2 linked regions of the Arabidopsis thaliana genome follow. The protein of the gene in region 2 interacts with the protein of the main gene of each other region in a pairwise test. Each region holds a gene or a part of one and is shown on either strand. Other genes may lie near its edges.

The links.
Region 1: the proteins of AT1G05020 (region 2) and AT2G15270 interact in a two-hybrid assay, tested with the Arabidopsis thaliana proteins (one large-scale study listed by BioGRID).

The regions. Positions count from the first base shown.
Region 1 is NC_003071.7:6,634,724-6,641,557, reverse strand, and holds AT2G15270 (PRKR-interacting protein), read right to left. Parts: upstream 3,728-6,834; 5' UTR 3,592-3,727; coding exon 3,340-3,591; intron 2,639-3,339; coding exon 2,306-2,638; 3' UTR 2,129-2,305; downstream 1-2,128. Other genes in the region: AT2G15280 (Reticulon family protein), read right to left, coding at 144-316, 459-528, 606-747, 1,056-1,236, 1,328-1,367.
Region 2 is NC_003070.9:1,433,576-1,441,473, forward strand, and holds AT1G05020 (ENTH/ANTH/VHS superfamily protein), read right to left. Parts: upstream 4,189-7,898; 5' UTR 3,771-4,188; coding exon 1,809-3,770; 3' UTR 1,580-1,808; downstream 1-1,579. Other genes in the region: AT1G05030 (Major facilitator superfamily protein), read right to left, coding at 4,749-4,940, 5,021-5,135, 5,236-5,324, 5,410-5,483, 5,583-5,729, 5,927-6,083, 6,160-6,253, 6,323-6,435 and 4 more. UniProt on the Arabidopsis thaliana protein: Adaptins are components of the adapter complexes which link clathrin to receptors in coated vesicles. Clathrin-associated protein complexes are believed to interact with the cytoplasmic tails of membrane proteins, leading to their selection and concentration.

The sequences.
Region 1 (6,834 bases), on a different chromosome or scaffold from region 2:
AGCTATGCCTGAACCAACAACCCTAGGCTAGTTGAAATATTAGAGCACTAGGCTTAACAAGAACACCTTTATCAAAGGAACAATGAGCAATGTATCACAGGACTAACTGAATAAAATGGTTTAAGAAGGTTCAGTATGCTTGCCTATTGCATCTTCTTTATCTTATTTGTGGGCTTAGCAATAATCTTCTGTAGTAATCTTTCATCGATCTTCCTGTACTGTGTCTGAATGACTCGATGAGTTAAAGATAGCTTCTCGTCAATAAGATCCTGGTATCTCTCGTACAAAAAGGGAATCAACAGACTCAGAACAACACCTGTCCATTTATATCACACAGAGAAAGTCAATTAGCAAGTCTTGAGTACAAAATGTATACTCTTCCCCTTGTGGAGATACTTATAGGTTCTATCAATAATGAACAATGTAAAGAACAAAGGAAAAACAAAAAAACTACTCACCAAGATAGAGTATTGTGAGGAAGTTTAAGAAATTTCCAACAAATGATACTGTCCACAACACAACACTCACCTACCATAAGCAATCTCAATGTATCAATTTCAAGTAGAAATCTATTGGAAAAAAACAAAAGGGACAAGTTTGCTGACCCGAAAGAGTTGCTTTGCATTTCTTCCCACGTAAATCTCACGAGCAACAGCGAGCACGGTATTAATCCAGACTCGTATAGCATCAGCCACCATAAACACAAATTCCTCAGTGATTTCAAGATTAGGTAGTTGAGGCATAGGCCTAGTCAATAACAATCACAGTAAATTTCAGATTCAGCTTTAGCACAGAGGTAATGCAAACTTTTCTTCATACTTAACCATATCTTATCTACAAATTAGATACCTATAGAAAAGAATAGCAGATTTGGCCCAGAGGCATAGGTCTGGTCAAGAAATTTCAGATTCAGCTTTAGCAAACATACTTAAACCTGTAACCATTATCTTCTTATCTACAACAAACTTATGCAAACATTGTGACATTCTTCTTCACTAAAACTATGCAAACCAAAAATAATGTGACATTATACAATCAGGTTTAGATGATGATACCTATTGAAGAGAATAGCAGATTTGGCCCAGAGGAAGAGTATAACGACGGAGAGAAGCTGAGTATTAACAACAAAGGGGAAGAAACTGTATCCACATTTCTCAAAGAGGAACCATAACAATGTCGTTGATCCAAGTAGAAGAAACCCTCCGCGTCGATTCTTCCACATGATTAAATCTGCAACTGCATCAGTTCAGAAATCATATGAATCGGTAGATCTACACGTTAATGGAGTCGTAGAACAATGAAACAATGAGAGAAAGAGAGAAGAAACCTGAGCCGAATCGTATCGATTGATGAACAGATTCTTCCATTGCAGCGAATCAATATCTCTCACGAATCCCAAAATTGTTTTGAGTCTCTTCGTTTTACGCACATAGTCGTCTCTTCAATTTAAGCAGTTTGTGCGGTCTATGTCACCATTCATGGCCTTAACTAAATTTCTTTTTTGCTTTTAAACCATTCTTATCTTTGAGTAATTGATCTGATTCTATCTTTTGGCATTTCTTTTTTTTTTGGTTCACAATTTTTGTTGTTCCTTTAATCTCCATTTTCCATTGTGAACAATATATACATTACTTTGGAATATAGAGATGTTAAATCGGTGTATCAACAATTCAAAGATGGGGTATTTTTATATTAAACGGAATGCTTTTTGCTGGAACAAGTTGTGGTAGTAGCTTAGTCTGGAAAGCTACTACACACTCTGAGTCTGATGATCCATTCAAATACTTGACATCTCTCGAGGGACATCATAGTGGTGAAGTCACTTGTTTTGTACTTTTGTTGTTGGAGGTCAAGTGCTATACTCTGTCGATAAAACAATCAAGGTGTGGGATCTCAACACCCTGCAATGTATAATGACCTTGAAGCAACATACTGGCACTGTAACATCACTCTTATGTTGGGACAAATGTCTGATATCGTCTTCCTTGGATGGGACCACACGATTGGCACACTCACAATTGGTCCTCAAGGATTGCTATTCAGTGGACACAAAAGTGGGAACTTGCGTGTATGGAGCTTAGCTGCTGGCACCAAAGTTTAGTCGTTTTAACAATTTTCGACTAAAGAATTTTGGTTTACTTGTCAATATACATTGGTGGTTGATTTGATGAACCCTAATCCAATACAAAAGCCGATTAAAACCTGCTCCATTTCTTTTTCCCGTACATTGTTGAAAACAAAAGGAAAGAAAGAAACGAATCTCACAAAGATAGTTTTGGAATCATGTAACATGTCACAATAAAAGCTATGAACGGTTCTCTTGGAACTTGATATTAAACATTGGACGTAAAGGTTCTAGCACAGACTCTTCTTCTACTTCATCTTCACCTTCGTCAGATGATATTTCTCCTACTCTCGGTTGCTTTACTTCTTCCTCAGTAGTGTTTGGTTTTTGCTTCTTCTCCTGTTTCTTCTGCTTCTTCTTTTGGCGTTTCAAACGCTTCTTCGATGTTTTTTCCTCTGCAGCTTTCTGTTTCTCTTCTCTTCTTATAGTAAACTCTGCCATTTTTAACCGCTTGTTATAGTCAATATCCATCCTTGTTAGTCGGTCTTGTTCTCTCCGCCTCATTTGCCGGTACTGTAATAGAAAAACAATGCATCAGTATTGCACAAGTTTAGATGTCTAGTATAATAAGAAAATGATGTACACACGCTTTATCAATAATCAGGGCCACACTTCAGATAACACTCAGCCACAACCTATAGAATCAACACAACGACCATCAACCATTAATTACTAATACCCACATGAGCTTCTCGCAACTAATACTCTCAGTTCAAGCTCTACCGACTAAGTAATCAACGTCACAAAACACTTATAGACTAAGAAATTTAAGATTCCTATCACATGTACAACAAGGAACTTCTAGTAATTAATCGACTATAGCTTCGAATCCACACTTAGCCATGCCTAAGAACAAAAGACCAGGCATTCTTCACAAACAATCCAGCTGATTTTCAGTTACTGAAGAACAGAATTCATATACAGAAGTTGAAATCATTCACAGATCACAGCCATCAAAAGACTAATACAGGATAGTCTATGGAACATTCTATCAAACTCTTATATAGGCATAAAGGCATTGTGATCCATCACAAAACTAAGAAAACAATGTCAACACAAAGTCCACTAAGATAATTCAGATCCCAACAATGAACTTCTCGTAATTGATTACCACACCTAACTACGCCTAATAACAAAATACAAAGCCTTATCTGCAGTTTCAGATTCCAGATACAAAGCCTTATCGATTTAAGAGAAAGGCTTAGTTTAGTTACCTGATGGAAATCTCCAGAACCAGAACCAGCGGAACTTCCAGAAGTATTACTAACACGAACAGGAACGTTCTCAAGGATACGTCGGAGCTTTACTTCTAGATCTTCTTCATCTTCAAGCATCACCGGCGGTTTATACTCAACGATAGACGAAGATCCTCCGTGATCAGCCTTCTTCGCTTCCATCAATGCCGACGCCGTAGTGGCAGCAACCACCAATCGTGTGTCGCCTTGCTTTGGCTTCCCGGACGACATTGTCGAAACCCTAATTCCGGTCACACAATTTGGGGATTTTTTTTCCTCTACGATTTTTCGTCAAGACGATAATTTATTAATTTTGCTTTGAGGTCTGTAAAAATTATTGTCGTCTACATATAAAAATAGAAGGGCTTTTTGGGCTTGGGCTGGGTTTGTCTATTTTTTGGGTTGGGTGTATTGGACTTACCTCCTCCATGGTTTTTTTTTGGAGTTAAGTAAATCTAATAATAATAAGACAATCTCAATAAATAGTCTTTTACATTTTTTTAATGGTTGCGTTTTTTCTTTGTCATCTGAATTTTATTAGAAACCAAAGTAGGATACAAGTTCAAATGGTTACGTTTATATATCGTAAATTTTCGTTAACAAATTTACTGTAACTTTTTCGGGTTGCGTCTCTTAATTGTAACTTTTAGTCGAAACATTTACGGTTGTTCTTTTATCGCAAGCACTTTTGAATGGTTGTGTTTGTTTATCGCAACTTTTCGATAGAATATTTATGAGTTTTTTGGGTTTTTCTCGGTTGTATCTTTTTATCGTATTTTTTCAAAGAAATTTGACGGTTGTGTCTTTATATCGCAAACACTTCTGAACGGTTATGTTTTTATCGTAAATTTTTATTAAATATTTACGGGGTTTTCTGATTTTTTTCGTTCTGTCTTTTTATCGTGTATTTTCATTGAAATATAGTCAGGACTTTTTTACGGTTATATCTTTTTTAGTTGGGTATCTTTTTACGATTGTATCTGAATTGTTGTATCTTTTTATATAACGTAACTTTTTGTTACATATTTATGGTTATGTTTTTTGGTTGTATCTTTTTATCGCATATTTTGTTGAAATATTTACGGTTATTTTTCACAGTTGTTTTTTTTATCGTATCTCATCATTAAAATACTCTTTAACGTTAAAGTCGATGGTAACTTTTGTTCATAACTCTTCAACATACATTTTTTTATATTTTCATTATTAAAATATGAAACAAATTTTTATATCCGCTTAGTTGAACTACTGCAACATTTGGTTTACTAACAAATCATTGTAATTTTCTGTTTATTTTAGGAACTATTGTAACCCTTAATATTAATAAAAACCGTTGCAACATCTAGTATATTTGATATCTATAATCGTGTTTCTCGGTATAAAACTTCACAAAATATATTTTTAATTTGTGTAAATGAATTTTCGCAAACCATTTAATTGAACTAACATTTAATTTATTTGACTAATCTTTGCAAATTTTGATTTATTTTATGAATCGTTGTGACATTTAGTTTGTTTGACGAACGCACAACCTTTGGCATATTTAATATATGTGGTCGCTTGTCTCTATATAAATTTTTTTTTTTTTTTAACATCTTCTTTTCCATTGTTATTATGATCAAGAGTTTTCCAGCTGTAAGGCTGACGAAATTACAATCGGAATGTAATCATAAAATAAAATAAAAGTTGAATTTACTAAAATACATTTAAATATTTGCAATTGTTCAGTTGAACCATTGCAACATTTGATTTTTCTGACGAACCATTGCAATTTTTTTTTTTTTTTTTATGAACCATTGTATCATTTAATTTATTTGACGAACTGTTGCATCCATTGATATATTATCTTCAGTAGCGTCCTTAGATTATAACTCTTTTTCACCTGTTTGCCTCTTTTTATCGTAATATTTTTGTAACCTATTTTTCTTTTAGTTTTTTTCTGAACAAATGTTTTATATGGTTAAATATTTTCATTGTAACTCTTCATTAAATATTTAATACATAATAAAAAATCAAAATAAATATCTCATATGGTTGAGTCTTTTCATTGTTACGGATAGTAAAATATTTTTATTTATTTTAAATCTGAATAAATACATATTATGGTTGTTTCTTTTCATTGTAACCCTCCATTAATATTTTATTTTAATTTTTAATAATTGAAAAAATATTTTGTACAATTGTATTTTACAAAGTTGCATCTGGTCATTTAAAATTGTGTCTTTTCCCCTCCATTTTCGTCTTTTCTTCAAAATCGTTCGTAAAACATTTTTATTTTATTTTTAATTTGAATAAATAGTTTTGATGGTTGCATTTTCTTATATTGAAACTCTTCGTTAAATATATAAATTTATTAATTAGAAATTGTTTTTAACAGTTATGTCTTTTTACAATGTTATTTCTAGTCGTTTAGAATCGTGTCTTTTTCCCCATTTTTCGTATTGTTTTATCACAATTTTTTTAAAAAGTTATATATTTTACAAACAATTGTGTCAATTAAATGTTCATATATTTTGAACTTTATATATTTTGTTTACCAAATATTCAATCTACACAACATCGCGGTGGAATACATTCTTAGTATTTATCAATAAAGAAGAAATAGAATAATTTCTAACATATAAATATGGAGAGTTACTAAAATGTCGTAGAATCAAAAGGGAGAATTTGAAACAAAAACATTCTTAAAAAGGTTTTGTTCATCTAAATTTTTTTTACTCAATTTGATTTATGTTTACATGCTTTATTTCTAAGCTTCTTATTACATACTCCAAAACTATGGGTTTTATCTTTTCTTTCTTTCATGACATCAAGAGGAGTTACGTTGGAGCAACAAATATGTCCATAACTACTGCAAAACTAAAAGCCTTTTTGTGTTTCTTTAAATGCGGTTGACTAGCCTAGTGTTGGCGTCTCTAACGTCTTTAACTAGGCTAGATTTCAACAACTTATTTCTCATAATCACATTCATCCTATTCGTATCAAATGGCTAGTGATAGCATCATTTGAGTATTGGTTTTAACTTCAGCCTCTTAAGCATGCTTTTTTTAGTTTTATCTTATCTGATTTTTTGCACATAAACTCTACTATTTGTGTTTTGTTTACAAAGTTACCATGTTTAAAACTTAAAAGGAACAACAATTGCATATTTCCTTCTCGGATCAAGTTTCATAGCAGGAGGAACTGAATCAGACAAATACGAACTAAATCAGAGATGATGAATTGATGATTAAGATATAGTAGGGTGTTGGGAGAATAGAGAGAGTCAGAGACTAGAGATACTAGAGTTAGATAAAAATATATATATATAAGGAACATCATCGTCGTAGACTAGAGTTAGACTACTGCTCTCCTCCGACTTTCCTTGTGATTCCAGAGAGCTTCACTTTCCGATTTTAGTTCTTTTTTGTGTTTCCCGTGTATCGGGCTTTAGCTTCCAAGGATTTCTCTGTTTTCCGCCGACATAAATATTTCAAA
Region 2 (7,898 bases):
CCGCATCCATCTAAATCATAATAATATACAAAATTATTTAGTCTTATGACACAGCAGTTTTCATTCGTTTTGTATTAATTTTGATGGACCAATAGTGGTTTATTTGTGTCCGTTGATTACGAAGCTGCTCTTCGGCCGGTAACAACATCTCTGTATGCACGTCTATATTAAGAATCATGAGCTATCACTTTTGGCCGTTTATCAGATCTAATAAAATTTCCCATTTAAGCGGAGAAGTTCAGATTCGATTACGTGGTTCCCTCTTTGGCCCAAAGATCACCTCTAAGAGTTGATAAGATATTTTTCTTTCAAATTCTTATAAGGATTTAAAAGCAAATGCAATGGAAAAAAAAAAAAAAAACATTCATTGCCTTACTTCCTTTCTATTTGGAGAAAGGTGGATCACCTTTTTTTTGTTTTTGTCTTTGATCAACATTCATACTTTGTTATAGAAAAACTGATATTTGATAATAGTAAGACATGCTTAACTTTATTTTCCACTTCCTCAGTCACAAACAAATCTCACGTCATTATTATGGAGCCTCAAAAAGTATAATATCACAGACGGGTTTTGGCAACTAATGTATTGATTTGAAATTTCTTAATATTTGCTATTTTATGGGACTATTTTAAAGTTGATCAATAAGCAAAACAAATAAAGAAACGTGTTTTATTTCATGTTGACTAACATTTTGACTCGAAAGCGAAACTTATGATAGAAAAATAGGCTTAGCAGCCGGTGTTATATTCAATCATGTATGACTTGTAAGCAAATTTTTACTAAATTACAAAACAACAACTTGAGAAGTCAAGAAGTTAAATCAACTTGTAATGAGAAACCTAAGAAAGGTGGAATCCTAAATTCACATATACAGAAGCTTTTACCACTGTCAAAGACGAAAACGACTCTAGTCAATGGCCAATGGGGGATAAAATTTGTGGTGTATAACTATTAAAAGAATTAATATTTGTGGTGGGCTATATACTAGAAAGAGATGTGTTATGATGATTTTGGTTTGGTAGATCTTTCTCCCTCGTGGCCTTGGGGTCAAGCTACAGCTTTGGTCAATCTCATGTTATCGACACCACAAAGCCAACTTGACCTACTAGTGGACCTCCTTAATTTATTCCATTTGGCTTCCCTCTTCGTTATCTTCCACCGATATACATTCATTTTATCATTCGCATTATCACGGATGCATATCATAACACATAAATACATGCATATCGGAAAATAAAATGCAAAAAATTGTTTGCCAGATATACGCATCTAATACGCATATCGGATACATTCATCTAATACACACACATTAGATGCATGCATCTGTTGTGTGATTATGTGAAAACTTGTTATATTAATATAGACTAAAAATGAATACATAAATATTTTCAAAAATACATAAACTAAATGCTACATAACATCATCACGATGATCAAAATGCTAGCTAAATTTCAATTCCCAAAAACTTCAAAGAAAATAACATATTCAAAAGTAAATCCCAAAGTGTACCGTGTACGTAAATGTATTCAGAAGGTGAACTTAGATATTTGAGTGTTATTCGTTGAGATATACTTGAAAATCAAATTCTCAATGTGATTATGATACAAGACACACAAAATACATCGTGTATACACAGGAATGCAAGTACGAAGATAGAATCCGCGGAAATATCTTTTTAATCAAAGAATTTCTGAATTTCACATTTCTCTAAGTTATGGAAAAATGAGTTAAGAGTTAAGTTGACAATGTAACAAAAGAAAAACTCAAAGAAACATCTCAACCTCTGTCTAGCCAAATAAATTTTGTATCAACTCAAGTGCTTGGCTATGATCTTTTTCTGGTTCTGCAACCATATCTGCTGTTCTTGCAATACAGATTGCTGATTTACCCCTCCATTTTCTGAAAATGTCTCTCCGAACCCAAAACTCTCAAATGTTGTAAACGGGTCACATTTCATAGGCAAAGTCTCCGTGGCCTTAAATGTTGGTGTAGAAGACGGCTCAAAATCATCAGGAACGTTCACCTGAAATGTCGGTTCTGGCTGAAACCCTGTCAAAGCCAAGCCACCGAACGTGATCATTGGTTCTCCGGCTGTAGCTAACTGCGCAACTGGTTCTTCCAAGAATGGGTTGTATTGGTCCGTGGCGGCTTGAAACGCAGGCATCGGATCATCTAACCCGAACGGTACTATCGCCATCGAGTTATTACCCTGCACCTGCGTAGCAGTTTCTTCTAACGCAAGCAACCAATTCCCTGAATCTCTCTGATGGTCCTCAGCGGTTGAAGGTTCCTCCTCAATCGTTTCTATCTTCTTCTTCGGATCATCTCTCAACATCAACGCCTCCCAAGGATCGAAAGTCTCTGCCTTTGAATCGTCTTGCTTCTTCTTGTCTTCAACATCTTCTGCTTCTGCCGTGTTACTTACGTCATCCAATGACAATAGGTCTAATATGAGATTGGAAGCAGAAACAGAGGGATTATTGGGAAGCGATTTAGTCGAAACCGTATCAAAATTATTCCCATTAGGATCATCTCGTCCTCCTCCGTATGGCTCAGAATGACAAGACATTGGAGGACTACTAGTCCCTGCTTCAGTCCTGCTCATCAAATCCTCCAACGAAGTACTACGAAACGACCCGTAATCTGAATACCTCTCCGACGTATCAATCGTGGAATCCCCAAAATCAAGCGAGCTTGAAACCGCTGAATCTTTGGACGATGGAGGCGGAGGAAGAAAACTATTCGGTGACGGATACAACCCTGAGCTCGCTGGAAACGACGATTGATCTTTTAAAAACTCTTGCAATGTCTCAAGAAGCTCTAAAGAGATCTTTTGAATGCTAGGATACTCCGATGTTCTTCCTATACCGATCGATTTGGAAAGATCGTAGAATGCGTTAAGCTCTTCGAACTGTTTCGAAGCTCGAACACAAGCTTGAAACGCATTGATGCAAGATTGGTATTGCAGATGGAAGAAACTGTCTAACAAAAGCGCTAATCCATCGGAAATGTCTCTGTAAAGATCAAAACTCTCTTGCATGACGGCGTAAAGCGACATTTTCACGAGCCTGTTGGCTTTCGCGTCTCCCGTCGGCCGCGTCGCGATTGCTCTGTCTAGTAATTTTTGCCAATACGTGATTTTGTCAAGAAGCATTACCGGTTTCATATCTCGAACCGCCGGTTCGTGGGATTTAATTCCGGCTTTGGGATTAAACCGGGATCTTGTTGTTGAGTTGGTGCTGATTCTTCCGGTTTGTTCTCGGTTTGTGTACCGTCTCTGTAATTTTCCGGTGAGGAAGCAATCGAGACGTTCGTCGAGGTAAAGCGCGAATGTACGGACGAAAGCAGTGAAATCCCAAGGGCACGAGTTCGAATCGTCGCGGAAGCTGGAGAGATTGAGGATTTTGGCGCCACGTTTCATGGCGTGGAGGACTTCGCGAGGGAAATAAGGATCACCGTCTTGGAAAATCCTGAGGACGAGGACTAGGGATTTGAGCGCGACGATCCAATTCCGTGTACGCCCGATACGGCGACCGATCGCGGCGGCGCAAGAGGCGGCGTGAGATTTCTTGGAGGATATGATTCCGAGGATTTCTGTTACGAGTCGATCGTCGATTGGGACTTCCTCGTCGTGGCTCGTAGCTTTCAAGATCGCAACTTCGAGAGTCGTGAGATCGCCGCCTCCGGTGGCTCCGTTAGCAACTTTGGCGAGGCTAATGCTTGTCTGATCTTTAACCGCACCAATCGCTTTTTTAAGCTTGCTCGGCATTGTCCTCGTCGTCGCGCTTTTAATTTCACCCAAACGTCTTCTTTGTTCCTCAAGGGGTTTTAATTTCTTAATCACTCTGGATTAGCGATTAATCACGAAGAATTAAAACCAAATTAGAAGATTTTCCTCTAAATTTTTTTCCTCTCTCTAAGGATTTTTTTTTCAATTTTTGTTCTTCTAAATATAGAGAGGAAGGCAGAATAAAATGGCTGGAGAGTCTCGAGACCCTTTCAAGATATAGCGTTGACTAATAGAGAGACTTCACACGCGATTTTGGCGCGTTAAATATATAATTGTGTTTAAATTCTTCTTCTTGTTAGAAGAAAAAGCATGATGCATAGAATTGTGTTCAAATTTCGAAAACTTATTATAATACAAATATCTTGTCAGTGTATTTATGTTACAAATTTTTTGATCGGCTAAAAGTAACATTCTCTCACAATTCCTTAAGAGTTGTTTCTACGAGCCTCATATTCGTATAGGTTATAAATTCAATGACAAGCTGTGTACGCTTTTTTTTTTCAGAGAACCAGCTAGCATCTTTATATTCAATATTCTTGGGATAAATTTAATATTATCAGAAATCTTTATCTTTGTTTGCAGACGTGCAAACCAGTATTATATATGAATATGAATATATAGAGATCATGAGTTATGGACTCACGATTTTCACCATGACATGGTAAGCATGTATAGTCTAGATCGAGACAATGTTACTACATTAAGCTATAAATCAAGAACGTCTTACCACTTGTAAATAGGCACAAACCTTTCATAAGTATGTATTTTGTGTAATCCTTGTCAACTTTCTTTCGCATTTTTTATAAATCTTTTCTTACATACCTAAGTATATCTATATACTCACAAGATTTCTCACAAGCTAATTTCCAGGCTATTTACATTTTACAACAACTGATGAAAAACTGATAAAAATTTTGAGGTCTTTCTCTCTTTCTTTCACTTATACCGTTTTTTTTTTTAACTCAGGTCGTCTCTGGAGTTCAAAGACAGTTCGATCTCTTCTAGTGATCGACCCTTTGTTTCCACCGTGAAGAGGTGTGAGAATGCCGCTGCCAACAATGATACTGAGCCAAAGCTGGCATAGACCGTTCCAACCCCGTATTTCTCCACCAGATCCAGGAAGAACAAACCAACCAAGAAGTTGGAGACCTGAAGAACATTTGCTTCGTCATTCTTCAAACTTCAAAAGGTTATAAAATGATTTATGGGAAAACTAAAAAAACACATACCCAATGTACAGAGAAGCTGAAACCCATGATTTTTCCACGCGTTCTGTTGCTGCTTAGCTCAGGGATGATGAGACCTGTTACAGGACCAGCTCCAATTGCAAAACTGAATATATACCTGTAACAGGACCAAACATATGATACGTTTCTGTCTTTTTTTGGGTACTATATGAGCTGAGAAAAGGAGACTAGTAATTGCTGGACTTCAAGCTACTTACATGAGTGTTCCAAGTATTGACAAACTCTGGCTCAGATCTTCATCCAAGGGGAAACCAACAGCATAAACAATAAGAAACATAGAGACTGCCTGTGACACCAAATCAATTCAATCAAAATAAGCTAAAGCAGTGAAAAGCAAAAGAGTTTATGTGATAAAAGAAAAAGATATTTACCATTCCCAAGTAGCTACCGATAAGAAGCTTCTTTCTTCCTTGCTTATCAATCAAATAAGACGCACACAGAGCACCTATTAGACCCAACAGTTCAGAAAAGGGACATTGTGATGGAAACAGTAGAAAAAAACAATCATCTAAATTTAAAGTTGATATAGGTGAGACTTGAGAACCTGCAAAATTTGTGACTCCAACATATAGACTTGCTTGAGCACCACTCGTGATTCCAACATTTTGGAATGTTAAAGATGAGAAATAAAGAACGCCATTTATGCCCGCGAATTGCTGTAGGACAAAAAGGGAGCCCCCAATGAATGCAACTGCAACCATTATATCAACAAGACATACAATTTAGCTACATAGATTTTTCATGTATGAAGTTATATATTCTCAGTTTCTTAGATCAAAGTCCTGGAAAAGGTTATTCTTAAACTTGAATGTTTTCAGTTTCTGATTTATGGTATAATATAACACCCTTAGAAGTTAGAACTAACATTAAAAGCAACCTTAACATGACCTCGTGAATGTGGTTTATCAAGGAGTTCCAGCCATCTGCTATTTAAGTTGGAGCCACTATTCTTCATAACCGACTGAAAATCTTCTACAGCTTTCTCGACTTCAGATCCTCCCCAGATGTTTCTTATCACTACTTTGGCATCATCAAGTCGTCCAACCTAAACAAGTATCATGAGACACGATTTCAACATGGAAAATCAATGCTTCCTCATGATTAAAAGAGGCGACTTATACCTTACAGAGCCAACGGGGACTTTCTACTGCAAATTGCATACCAAGTGCAAGAAGAAAACCAGGCATACTCGCTACATAGAGCATTGTCCTCCACCTGAACAGTAGTATACATGAGGAGAATGAAGTGAAGAGTGAAATGTATAGATAGCTAAATGAAGCTCACCAATGAGGGTCATCTTCTGCAGGAATCCCTAAGAGAAGAGAAAAGATTATCCCGAGACAAGTGCCAATTTGACATAAAGTTCCAAGGGAACCTCTGTATTTCGTCGGAGCAACCTATAGAATAAAAATGGTTGGCTTAATATCAGAAGTAACAAGACTCTTCAGCCGAACATATGAAATGCAAAATATGCTAAGCAAAAGAATGCTAAACCACAACTTATTGTACTGAGAGTCTGAGAGTACATAGGATCAATTTTAAGAAATGTCCTAGATCTTACAGCAGAAGAAGCCAAATAGTTAAAACATGAAGTTGAAAAGGAATCACATATTAGATTACCTCGGATATATATATTGGAACAAGAACTGTGTTGACGCCAATACCAAGACCAACAAGAAATCTTCCACATAAGATCTCATCCAAGGAGTGAGCTTGTGCACTGAGAGAAAAAGTAAAATTTAGTTATGCTGCTACCTCACAACTTAAAACATCATCATGGAATTGTTACTAACATAACGAAATCAAGATTCACCTTAGTAACAAGATATTACCTCACAAGGGCACCAAGAATGAGGGGTATCGTGAAAATCTGAAAGGTGCGTCGGTAGCCAAACTTGTCAACTAGTGGACCGGCGACTATGCTACCAATAAATGCACCGGCAATAAATATGCTCACAACAAGACCCTCAAGAATAGAATTGCCTTCAAACCCAAGTTCACGCGCAATAGACACGATGGGGCCATTCATCACTCTGCAAGAACAAACTGATAGTATTATAAGTACTAAGCTTTCGAAAAACTAATCCAGATCAACCTGACTAACTCATATTCTTCTCACTGGAAGCTAACAAATTGTCAAGACGGGGACAAATCAACACTCTGTAAAAACAATCTAATCAACATCTTTGTAAGCTCAAATTGAAGCTGTTTCTCACCAGCAATGTCAAAATGAAACTTTTTTTCGAATTCTGTAACACAACCAAGCATTAACACTACTACACGAACAGAGATTAATCTTCTGGTATAGAAATCAAACTAGGCCAGTGAAACAAACAACAACGACTGTTACTTCACAAATTTGGCAACAGTGAATTGGCTATATTATTACCCAATGTGATAACCAAAGAGAAAATTGGCCATAGAAGCAACTGATACATGAGGAAAAGCCGATAACCATCCCAAATCAGCGGAGAATTTCTCCGGCGGAACTGGCGATATCTCGTGATCGTCATCTGTTAAAATTTTGAATAAAGTTAGAATATTTCAAACAGATAAACATTGGCAAAGAGATTGGTAAGTCAATGGAGGTGAGAAAGCTGAACCTGGTTTCTTCGTCGACAATGTCGTAACCCGCTTCTTCCTCTTTGAAGACCGAAAGAAACGGGAAAAGGAAGAGGCTTTACGAGAGTGGGCGAGTCGGGTCGGGTAAGAAAAGGTTAATCGGTTCATAGAATTGGGTCGATATAGAAGTACGGTATTCGTCACCCACATGATCGGAGAGCTAGACTAGACGGAAGAGAGAGAAATACGTCGGCGAAGCGAAAATAATAAAATTTGAGGCGACGGAAAATAATAAACT